Linked DNA regions of Danio rerio. The protein of the gene in region 2 interacts with the protein of the main gene of each other region in a biochemical or structural test. Links are inferred from orthologs where the notes say so. Each region holds a gene or a part of one and is shown on either strand. Other genes may lie near its edges.

Region 1 (4,069 bases), on a different chromosome or scaffold from region 2:
TTAATCAAAAATTCTTAAGCCTTTTTGGGACAATTTAATTGTTTTACGTAAAACTAACTTAAATTTGCAAAAACAATGATGTTAACTTATTCGACTTTTGTTGGGACAACAGGAAGGAATTGTGTGGAAGCCTGCATCTTTTTACAGTGTTTTCCCCTGTTTTTTACTTTTAACCATTATCCTGTTATACATTAACTCATTGCAAATTAAATAATAAACTAAATTTTAAAAAAGGCCAAAAAATAATAACGGTTGTGGTAGGTTTGGTCACTGGTTGGCGCCAGATGTCAAGGTAGAGAATAAACATTTCCAGAGGGACAACATTGCAAGTGTCAAATGTGTTGAAATATGAATTCTGGTGTCCTTGAAGCATTTATATGATATCAAACAAGAACAAGAACGCACATAAAAGCGACTTTTAGGTCATGAAACGTTTATTTAAATTATAGCCTATATAGTTCTCAAACTGAATTCGTGGAGGGCCGCACATCTGAAGTTTAGCTCCAACTCTAATTAAACACACCTGATCCAATTAATCAAGACTCTTTTGAACACATTGATTAATTGGATCAGGTGTGTTTTATTAGATTTGGAGCAAAACAGAGCTACGGCTCTCCAGGAATTCAGTTTGAGACCCATGATTTAAATGTGTAGTTATCTCATTTGACTTTAAATGTCCCACAAACATTAAAGCTTGTATTTTTTTATTTTTATTTTACTGTTTCTAAAACTGTTGTATTTTTTTAGCCTATTTCAATTTACCTTTTTCTAAGCGTCGACATAAACCTATATTCATACAGAACTCTGAATATATTCGTTGTGGAAATGCTGTAAACCCGTTTGTAGGCTGCGTTCACTTTGGTCACTGGTTGGCGCCAGATGTTAAGGCACAGGGCATTTCCAAGAGATGGAGAGTAGTATTAAAAGGGTCTAAAACTGTCAAATATGCTTTTTGTTAAAGCCTTTCCTTTTCAGCACAATGCGCCCGTCTTTCCACCTGAAATCTGTGTGCCATCGAGGCAGACATCTCTATCTAGCCGCGCGCAAAAATTGAAATGGCGCGTTTGGCCCGAGGCGGTTGTGTGGGCGCCTTTGCAGAGGCACAATGCATATCGATATACGTCATTTAGTTTTCATGGCCAGCAGAACATTATTAGGGCGCCGAGAGACACGTTTGGAAGCAAATTAATTCTTCCATTAAAATAGAAACATCAATCAAAAAAGACGTTCGTAGTTAGAAAATACAGTAGGCTATATTTTGTGGGTAAAGTGGTTTAATACAACAGCCTTCTTCTTTTTCCCACTGAAGGTTAGCCAAAGACATGCACACAGGTAAACCGTTATCCTCACACGCGCGCGCGCTCATCATATCTTTGTTCAGACGATGAATAAATAAATGACGATAAATGCGACGAAAAGACACACATACGCATCCTCCCAAATGCGAATAGCAAGATCAAATGTTGTTCTTGTAACTCGCCCCAGCTCAGGCAGGGTTGAGCTAATTGTAGCCTAATCCTGCCCCGGGGCGTTTGGAGAGCCTTGAGCAAGAATTCTTGTTCAGCTGTCCTCTGTTATTCGGGCTGGAACGCTGTGCCTTCAACGCACTCTCACGCTTCAACAAAAAAGGAGCAAGAAAGAAAAAAAGCGAGGCTAAGACACGCCACCATCGATCTCATGTTTTAAAGAGGGCTGAAGATACATTTACAGCTATGTCTTCCAAGGTAAGGACGCAGCCTTGACTGACTCCCCTGTGTAGCTTTTGTGGAAAGTGTCTATAGCAGTCTGTGTTTTAGGCGAGTTTTTAAAGCCACAGCGACCTATATAGCGCTGCGTTCGCACCGGCGTTAGATTTCCGCTGGATTCCGAACGGATTCTGTACGAAGAGCTCTTGGAGAAAATATTACCAAAAGTTCTTTCTAGAGGACGAGCAAGCTTCATCGGAGAATCCTCCTCAGATTGCGTCGGACATCCTAAAATGTTTGAAACGGTACGGTACAGATTCTGTCAAATTCTCGAGTCTTTTCTCTTTATTGCATTCGTTCTCAGTGTGTCGTGCTTTTGCAGTTTTAGATCAGGGAGGGCTGATTTGGGTATACAATGAGAGGTCAGAGCACTACTGTATGCCCATTGCGTACAGGAAGTGCGGTACATAGAGTTGTAGGGCTATTTTACGCACTCCTGAGACCTGGCGCAGTTATCATCAACTATTATTTCGGACTTTGATGAGATCTTACTTTGCACTCGCTCGTAGCGGCAGATTCCTTTTCACTACAAACATCAATAGTTAGCTTTTCAAGTCATGACATGATGTTCATACTATTGAAGCGTTATATATATATATATATATATATATATATATATATATATATATATATATATATATATATATATATATATATATATATATATATATATATATATATAACATTAGACATTACTCACTAAAAATGCAGTTCGTATTTTAGTCAGTTGTTGATTCAACCCTTTCTGAAAATGTCTGTTCATTGAATGAAGCATTTGGTGTTTGACTGATTCCAAGTTATGAGGCTTTTGAGTGACTCATTGAATGATTCGGCTCCCAGGAGTCGTTACTTCGTTTTTCTAAACTGCTACTGCTTTTGAAATATGGGTTTCTTATTACTGTGGCGCAGTATAGTCTTATAGGAACGAATGGATAAGGACAAATTAAAACATATAGCCTTGTAAAAGTTGTAAACAATTTTATAATTAATATAATGTCTTTAGCCGTGACTCTGAAGATTAATTGATGTTTTTTAGTAACAAAAATGTAAATTTTATATATTAATTCTATTATTCAATTTCACTTAAACTAACCATAATAACCTGCAGTTCATTGACTGAGATGTTGATTCAAACCGTTCTTGACAAATTCAGCGTTCATTCATTGAATAATTTGACACGTTGATTCTAAGTTATGAATCTTTTGTGTGATTCGTTAAAAGAATTGGCTCATAAGAGTTGTGCTACAGGCAACCTGTCAGGCTGTGTTTGATTTTTCGTAATTTATAAGAAATTTATTTGAAATGTTTATTTATTGGTAGACAATTTTTTAAGTTCAAATTGAAAATGATTTATTGCTCACACGTGGGATACAAAAAAATAAAAAATAAAACCTGATGTTTTAGATGCAATTGAAAATGTTTAGCTAATATTGTAGCTTATTATTAACGTAGTGTTCAAGTATTATTAATATTGATTTTTATGAACAAACTTTTCATTCAGTTAAGAATTCAACAGATTTGCGTGACTCATTAAAAAAACGACTCATAAGAGTCATTTGTTCATCATTGGAATGCATGGGCTTCATTTTGTTTGTCTTTTGGATCTTAACATTTGAAATTTGCATTCTTGAAATTGTTTCACAGTATTTTAATAACATTTTAATGACATTTGATAAAAATTATCCAACATTCATGTCTTTATACAAAATAAAATTAGCAGTTTTTTGGCTAATGTGAAAAGTGTGTCAGTTTTCTGGACACTGCTATTCAGGTCAGAAATCATTTGTTGACCAACAAATACGATGAATTCGACTTTTTAAGTGACTCATGATAAGAACCAGCTCAAATTAAGAGTCATTTGATTGTTATGATTGTTTGTTTTCACATAGAAGAAATTGAAAATCTATTTTTCCCATGTAATTATTTGGTGGTAGTCAGAATTTTAATCAAATATAATTCAAATGAATGAACACTAACATACTGAATACACATTTTGTCAGCTGTTATGCTGCGAGTCCATTTTTTCGTAAGTAAATCCTGTTTAGTTTCAAAATAAGTCTTTAAGATATCTTTATATTATTAAACTTATTAATTTCAGTAGCTTTAAATGCAACTATAGCTAAAACATGGATACATTTACATTATTTGGCCTTTCATAGATAAATCTAAAGGCTTAGACACAGTCCACAAGTCTTTGACGTACAACTATGGGCAGACTTTGCTCCAGGCATTGTGCTTCCAGAAATGGGACTTTAACCATCTGTTTAGGCAGGATTGTTCATTTCTCCAAACAAAAGGTTGATTCATGCCACAACAGCAGTCAA
Region 2 (3,446 bases):
AAAATAAATGAGTTAATTATGTTGCACTGCGAAGATGCCATTGCTTTTGAATAAATCCATTTTGCTTGTAAAGTTGGAGGTGATTATTCCGTGCAGTGGTATTTGGTGTGCCATGGGTTTTAAAGGTGAAAGCTGGAGACGGTTCATTGGTTCCTGTTAATCATTGACGCTGAAGACTGAATGTAATATTCATCGTGCTTCATTGAAATTTAGTCTTGTATGGTAATGAGCCTGAAGAAATGTATGATTCCTGTGAGATAAGGGCGAGGGGTGGGGGTGGTGGACACGCAAGCAGACGCTGATTTAGTCGGAGGACACTGGCTTTCTGAAGTGCTGTTATTGTTTATGATCTGCTCCATTTTATGGAAAGCAGTTTAGAGTTGAGCTTTGATGCTAATTGGCGCATGCGTTCTTCCAGATTCTAGGCTTATGACAGGAAGGCTCGCAGTAAAAACCCAACTGTTTCAGGAAATTAAAACCAAAGACTTTAGTAAAAATCAACTAAGCACAGACCTATTCGTGGAAGCCTGTCATGCATATACCAAAAGTAGGCCTATAGGAAGAAGGTTTACTTTTAGTCTAAAATCTCAAAAGGGAGGTACATTCTAACGAATTTATGTGGCAGACTTATTATTATTAGTTTAGGTGGACTAATGGAAAATAAAGATGCATTAATATAAAAAAGGACTGAGAGCCGTATCCTGGTTGTTGGACGAAAACGCTAATTAGATGAAGATCATGAAAAATGTAAATTACTGTACTGCATTTTAGTAACGTTACACAAACTGACTACCATTTTCTTCTAGGTGAAGCTGTGCATCTGGCCAGAGATTTCGGTTATGTATGTGAGACTGAGTTTCCAGCCAAGGCGATAGCTGAATACATGAACCGACAGCACTCCGACCCAAACGAACAAGTCCAAAGAAAAAACATGTTATTGGCTACGAAGTAAGTGCTATTCTCTCTATCCAAAAGCCAAAGCGTGTTTCATTGTTTATGACCTATTTCCGTGTTTATTTGAGCATTCCTTATGCTGGATCGCCTATACGTGTACTAAAAATTTGTTACATTTAGATTTTAATAAACAGAGCTGGTTTAATTCCTGCTTTTTGGAGCCGTTTGGTTTTATGAAGTATATTTCAAATATTCCACGAAACGGTATGCTTTCTGCAATGAAATATATCGGCATATTTGATGCAATAAAAAAAAAAAAAGTTTAAATAAAAAAGATCAGCACCAGTGTCAATTAAAACACATAAGACTGCAAACAACAACGATTTAGAATAAAAACATACAAGACGACTCCCTCATCCGTTTCTGACATAGATGCGGCTCTCTTAAGCTGAACGTGAATTGTCCATCGCTATGACACGACACTGCCCATCCAGCTACTGTCAAACGGAATACGTGTGTCATCGATTAAAGGACACATATGGACCACATAGTCTTACTAATACATGTATGACGTCATAGCATCAGCTGTAATTAGCTTCCTCCTGACACGCATCCTGCATTGTGTCTCCTTCTAGACAAATCTGCAAAGAGTTCACGGACCTGCTGTCTCAAGACCGCTCGCCCTTGGGGAATTCACGTCCACAACCCATTCTCGAGCCCGGGATTCAGAGCTGTTTGACCCACTTCAGTCTTATTTCTCACGGATTCGGAACTCCGGCCGTCTGTGCGGCCCTCACAGCTCTGCAGAACTATCTGACGGAGGCAATTAAAGCAATGGACAAAATGTACCTGAACAACAATCCCAACAGCCACAGTGAGACGGGGTCGAAAGCGGGTGACAAAGATGAGAAGCACAGAAAGTGATATCCAACCACCACCTCCCAACTAATATGACAAACTACATATAACAAACACACTAGTGATCAAGATGAAACACTGAACCCACCACCTTCCGATCTTGGCATTTAGTTTTTTTTTAATTAATAAAACACACAGTTAATTCTGGGATTTGCGGACAATGCACTTCTCTAAATCAGTAAAGCAGTGTGCCAATGAAAGGAGTACAGATCTGCCACAACTGGACTTTTCATGAACTTCCTTTGTATGAGTTCAACGGACTGAAATTCAGCGATTTCCCTTCAGTATCCCAATTTACGATTGTAGCCATGTGACAAGAAGAAGCTGAAAGAGGAAGATTTTCTATCAGTATTGTGAATAATAAACTTGAAAAAGAAATCTACAGCTCCATGCCATGACTTTTAAAAACTGACTTTTCACTCGACTAAGCGACCAACTTGAACTTTGAATTTCAACACGATTCACGGTTATATGAGGGAATCTGTGTTCATGTATGTATATATTTATTTATGTGTAATTTAATGGGAAATGTAAATATGGTACGTCTGTTCAAACTTTTTTTTTATTTATCTGGTGCCTCCTGTTTTAGTGGGTTTGAATATTCGCTTAGTTCTTCATGTGGTTTTATGGTTCTTAGAAAACAGAAGTTTGGGGTATTCTTCTCTGGGATATTTCAATTCAGCCCTCTTGTAGCATGTTGAGGCGACACTGAAGCAAGTGAACAAATTGAAAAGAAATAAACATCCATTTTCTACATATGATCCTTATGCCATTCAGTTTTAGATCGAAGAAGGTCATTAAAGAGACCCCGACGATGCTAGTTTTGTGTTTCTATCTTCTTGTTTTTTTTATACAAGCTTTTTATGTGTTGTGCCAATCACCTCTTGTTCTTCCCTCAAAGCACCACAAGAGCAATAAATGGATATTGTCTATGGATTTTTTTTCTCTCTTTAGAATAAATTCAACATTTGGGACCATCTGATATTTTGTGTGTCCACTGTCTAAATTGGAGGCGGTTTTATCTGTATTGTATAAACCTGTGCTGGCAATAGCTCCCATGCCTGTCAATGTATTATAGTTCTTTGTTGCCCAGAAAAAAAATAAATATTTGATACGCTTCATGTCGATTTTTATTCATTACTTTTTTTATTCACTGCTTGCTGCGATTTATTCCTCTCTCTCTTTTCTATTCAACACAGTTACTGTAATTGAGTTTAACTCTCCCTTGACGATTGCTCCATGCAATAAGCAGTTGAACCCATTGTTTCCCTCAAATATAAAAAAGAAAAAAAAAAACTTACTTTCAACTCTTAGTTCAGAGAACAAGATCATTCAAATATGGCAGGGAGCTTTTTTGCCAAGCCAAATGACACAGAAAACAATGAATTCTTTTTCGTGTTTGAAGTGAATGTGTGTAGTTTTAGCCCTCGAGCAAGAGTGCTCTTTAAATCAGTCAGATGTAGAATCCAGCTGAAGGTTAGTGCAGTTGCCATTTCCATGCCTTTATTTGTAGACGCCACCTTACTTTTCCTGATACACTGTCAGCAATGCCGTGATAAATATTTATGTCATTGTAATGTAAATCTATGGGTTTGCTGAAATCAGTTTACAGTTCGTTGGAATTAAATTGTGTT
Region 3 (4,257 bases), on a different chromosome or scaffold from region 2:
GTTTTAAATGATAATATATCTCTGAATTCAAATCTACAGTGTGGCAGTAGCGTTCTGTCATGTTGAGAAATTATTCGACAACAGACATGAAACATCACAAGCTTTGTATTAAATATTGTTTTTAATGACCCAGTTGTGAAATATTTTAAAGCCTTAAAGTAAAAGATTTAATTTATTTTAATTTGAATTAGAGAAGTGGACACTTTTTTCTCCTTTTTCTTATAAGTGGAAACAAAAATGTTGAGCATAGAAATGCAAAGTCAAATTTACAGTGGATAGCACAGTAAACAGGTCTTGTATTTGCTTATTCAGTAATCAATACTCAATGTTACCATAATGCAATTAATTTATTTACAACCTAACCTATTAGTTATTTTTTAATTTTATCTATGATTATTTTTATATTATTATTATTATTGTTGTTATTATTGTTGTTGTTATTATTATTACCCTTATATGGGTTGAGCCCCTCTAAAATGTAAGTAGAATCTCCTCTTATGTTTATTCATTTATTATTCATTCATTTTGACACAATCTACATTGTAAAAGTGCTATGGAAATCAAGATGAATTGAATTTAATTGAATTTTCCTTTAGCTTAGTCCCTTATTTATCAGGATTCTCCACAGCAGAATGAACTGCCAACTGTTCCAGCATGTTTTATGCAGCGAGTGCCCTTCCAGCCACAACCCAGTACTGGACAACACCCATACACTTTCATTAACACACACCTTTAAACCACGGACAATTTAGTTTACCCGAATCACCTATAGCGCATGTTTGGACTGTGGGGTTAAAGCAAAGCACCCAGAAGAAACCCACAGGAACATAGGCAAACTCACACAGAAATGCCATCTTTCCCAGCCACGACTTGAACCAGCGACCTTCTGTGAGGTGACAGTGATAACCACTGAGCCACCATGCCACCTATTATTATTATTATTATTATTATTATTATTATTATTATTATTATTATTATGATTATGATTATTATTATTATTATTATACCCTTATTAGGTTTGAGCCCTTCTAAAATAAAAATCCTAGAATTACTCTTCCTTATATTCATTTATTATAATTAATATTATTGTTGTTAATATTATCATCATTATTATTATTATTAGTATTGCTTGAAAATCTCATGAATAAAAAATATCCGTGAAAAAAAGAGGGATCTCGCATTAGTTCACCACTTCTTCATCTCCTGATCCAGGTATTCCCTCTCCGTGTTTTATTTTATGTCCTCCTGTTCCACTAAGAACTCTATTCCAGTGTCTATTTTGTAAGGCGCCATCACCAGTCATTGGCTGTCCCATCATCACCAACAGATCCACCGAACAATGCACCGCCGGGTTTTGTTTTGCTCCAATCCACCAAGGACTCCAGTGCCAGGTTTTGTAGCATACCTATATTGCCCATTGCCTATCGCAACGCAGGATGAACTAGTGGGAACAGAAACACTATGGCTGCCAGTCTCTCCCTGACTCAGGTAACCTCCCTTTCTACACAAATATAGCACTCTTCAGGCCACTTTCCAGCGGTTCTAATGGGTTTACCAGATCTGTTGAGCTTTAAATGTGCGCTTTAGGGCGGAAAGCGATCACAGCCCGCTGTCTGGTCGCAGCTGTTTAAAGTTGTTTTCAGCCATTTGCTTGTGGAGAGAAAAAGTTTCAGTGTGATCTTTTAGGGACTTGCGTTAGGGCGTAGCTTAGTGTGTCAGTGTTAAACTAGGGTGGATTTACATGTATTTTTTTTCTAGCTTTTTTCGTAGCTGCTGTTCATCTAAAGTGGCAACTTTTGTTTGTTTTCTTTTTAAGGTCATGTTTCTTTAAAATGTCTCGCATATGGACGTGTGGAGGTTCTTGTAAAACTGTCGTTGAAAACTTGAAAGAGGAGCTGCAGTGATGATTACGACTTCATTTTATGGCACAATGACCTTTAAATGATCGTATTAAGGCCATTTTTTGACATACATTGGGTTTGGTTTAGTGGTGTGTAATGTATTAGTATATGGCAGTCTGTTTATAGTGGCATTGTAAAGCAGCAGGAAGTTTTGCTGCACTGCTAGCTCAGTGTTTCTCTATTCATCCTTTTAAAAATAGGAACTAGACATTGTTTGGTGCTAATATAGTCCAAAACGTCTGAATTACATTTATTGTGTGTATTTTTATTTTATAAACTTTATTGTTCTACTCGTAACAACTTTTTTGGGATTCTTTTCGACTGTTTAAACTAGTTAGCCTGCTAGCTAAAGCATTTTTGACACTCGCCCGCTAGCTGGCTAAACTGATGGTCAACCTTCAAAAAAGGTTATAGTTGAGTAATATAAGTCAAAAAGTGCCAAAAATCTCTAAACATTTAAGTAGGAACATATTTCCTATGTGCTCTTTGCATGTTCTGAGCAAATATTAATGTGACATTTATAGATAATATCTGACTGCATGTGCATTCTAGATGCATGTTTTTCTAGTCCACAGGGAATTATGCATTGATTGAACTGATGGTCTGAAATGCTCCTCACTTTGCATCTTGTCTTTTTTATTGCTTTAAGAATAAGACGTTTCTTTAATGGCAGTGGTGGTTGTAGTGTTGACCACATGCAGCTGATGGTGCTCTTAGTTTAGAAGCAAAGCACACATGCATGAAATATGCATTTCAGCATTAGCTCATCGAGAATACTAGGAGGAGAAGGACATACATCTGTCATGTCTTTAGTGTTTTCTGTGCAGCCAAAGAGCATAGGTTTGGTAAGAACTTATTGCAAGGAAACAGGAGGTAAAAGAGCATTTCCAGCGTTATGGATGTGACATTTGCAGTAAAAACTCAAAACATAAATTTACAAAGAAAATATATATGTTAACATTATATTGAAACATATGTTTATATTTTCCAGAACAACTGACCAGAGTTAGGAGATCAGAAAAATATCAATCTGTAAATATGTTAATACATTAAATAAGGGAAATAAACATGCGTTGTGGACGTGACCAAAAAAGGATGTCTGAGTTATACAACATACTTTGTAGAAATTCTGTGAGTTAAACGGCACATTCCAAAAGAAATTATGCTAGTCAAAAGTATAAGAGTTGGCTCTCTAGAACAAACATAATTGATTTTATTTTATTTAATATTTTTGCATTTATGCGGAAAAAGTGTGTCGTTATGGATGTGACTGATGTGAAGTTGACTTTGGTAAATCAATTATTATAGTTTAAAAACAATGAGAGAGATTTTTAAGTATTTCTAAAGTGCGGTAAAATACTTGCTTACACAAAACACTTACTGTAGAAATGGTTACCATATTTTGGTGAAAACTTATTTTTTTTCATGGCAAGGTGGACATTTGCATGGAATTGTTCAAAAGCAGAATTATGTATTTGAGTCACAAAGCCTTTATCTTAAAAATTAAATGTGACTGATTGTTTTCTGCTCGGCTATATTAAGTTATTGCATGTTTCTCATATTTGAGGCCATAATACTCCAAATGTCTCTCTTATTGCTACATTGTTCTGTTGTTGATTCTTCTAGTCTGTTCAAGTTTGGTATAGATAAAAAACCATTGGGTAATAAAAAGGGTGATAAAAAAGGGAGTGCAACCTTAAACCTGGTGTTGTTATAATGGCAATATCTATAGATAACAAAAATGTTTGATTTCATAATTGTAATTTCATTAATTTCTAAAATTAAATGTGAAAAAAAATCTAAAACGAGTATTGAACGTGTACACACGGCAAATATAAATACTTGGAAGCAGCCATGAAATAGTTTTGTTTTAAGGAATCCCACTATCACAAAACATTTATCGCAATCAGAATGTTGCTTTTACAAAAACATGCATCTGTGATGTTGTGTAAATAAACCTTTAATCATATTATACTTGTAGTTATAATACTTGTTATTACATTTGACTGTTCCTAGAGTGTGTATGGGGTTTGGTTAAACAGCCTTTTCCTCCTTTGGTCCTACATTATGGAATGAAATGCAGAGTGTTATCATGTTTGAAACAATTCCATCTCTAAATGTTTTGAAAAATCTTTTGGAGTCTTATCTGGAAGAATCATGTGAATATTTTGCCTATATTTTAATTAGTGATATTTTATGGTCGTCTATTTTTGTATATAAAACATTTTGTGCTGCCATTCAGGCACGTGCACACATAGGGCTCAACCTGTGCAGTGCACATGCCCTTTTTAGTCTTGGATAGAAAGTGCCCTTCCAAAATGATCAAAAGTGCCCCCGCGACGCGGCACACCCTCGG

What was found. The genes of interacting proteins can lie anywhere in the genome.
Region 1: the proteins of tfap2a (region 2) and kctd15a form a complex in vitro, tested with the Homo sapiens proteins (2 studies listed by BioGRID, with this or other methods). The link is inferred for Danio rerio from reciprocal best matches to the Homo sapiens genes TFAP2A and KCTD15.
Region 3: the proteins of tfap2a (region 2) and eps15 form a complex in vitro, tested with the Homo sapiens proteins (2 studies listed by BioGRID). The link is inferred for Danio rerio from reciprocal best matches to the Homo sapiens genes TFAP2A and EPS15.

The regions. Positions count from the first base shown.
Region 1 is NC_133200.1:21,631,486-21,635,554, reverse strand, and holds the start of kctd15a (BTB/POZ domain-containing protein kctd15-like), read left to right. Parts: upstream 1-1,255; 5' UTR 1,256-1,712; coding exon 1,713-1,724; exon of another isoform or gene 1,725-1,978; coding exon of another isoform or gene 1,979-1,990; intron 1,991-4,069. UniProt on the Homo sapiens protein: During embryonic development, it is involved in neural crest formation. Inhibits AP2 transcriptional activity by interaction with its activation domain.
Region 2 is NC_133199.1:9,069,328-9,072,773, reverse strand, and holds the end of tfap2a (transcription factor AP-2-alpha), read left to right. Parts: intron 1-806; coding exon 807-948; intron 949-1,529; coding exon 1,530-1,818; 3' UTR 1,819-2,933; downstream 2,934-3,446.
Region 3 is NC_133183.1:18,336,753-18,341,009, reverse strand, and holds the start of eps15 (epidermal growth factor receptor substrate 15), read left to right. Parts: upstream 1-1,443; 5' UTR 1,444-1,461; coding exon 1,462-1,488; intron 1,489-4,257. UniProt on the Homo sapiens protein: Involved in cell growth regulation. May be involved in the regulation of mitogenic signals and control of cell proliferation. Involved in the internalization of ligand-inducible receptors of the receptor tyrosine kinase (RTK) type, in particular EGFR.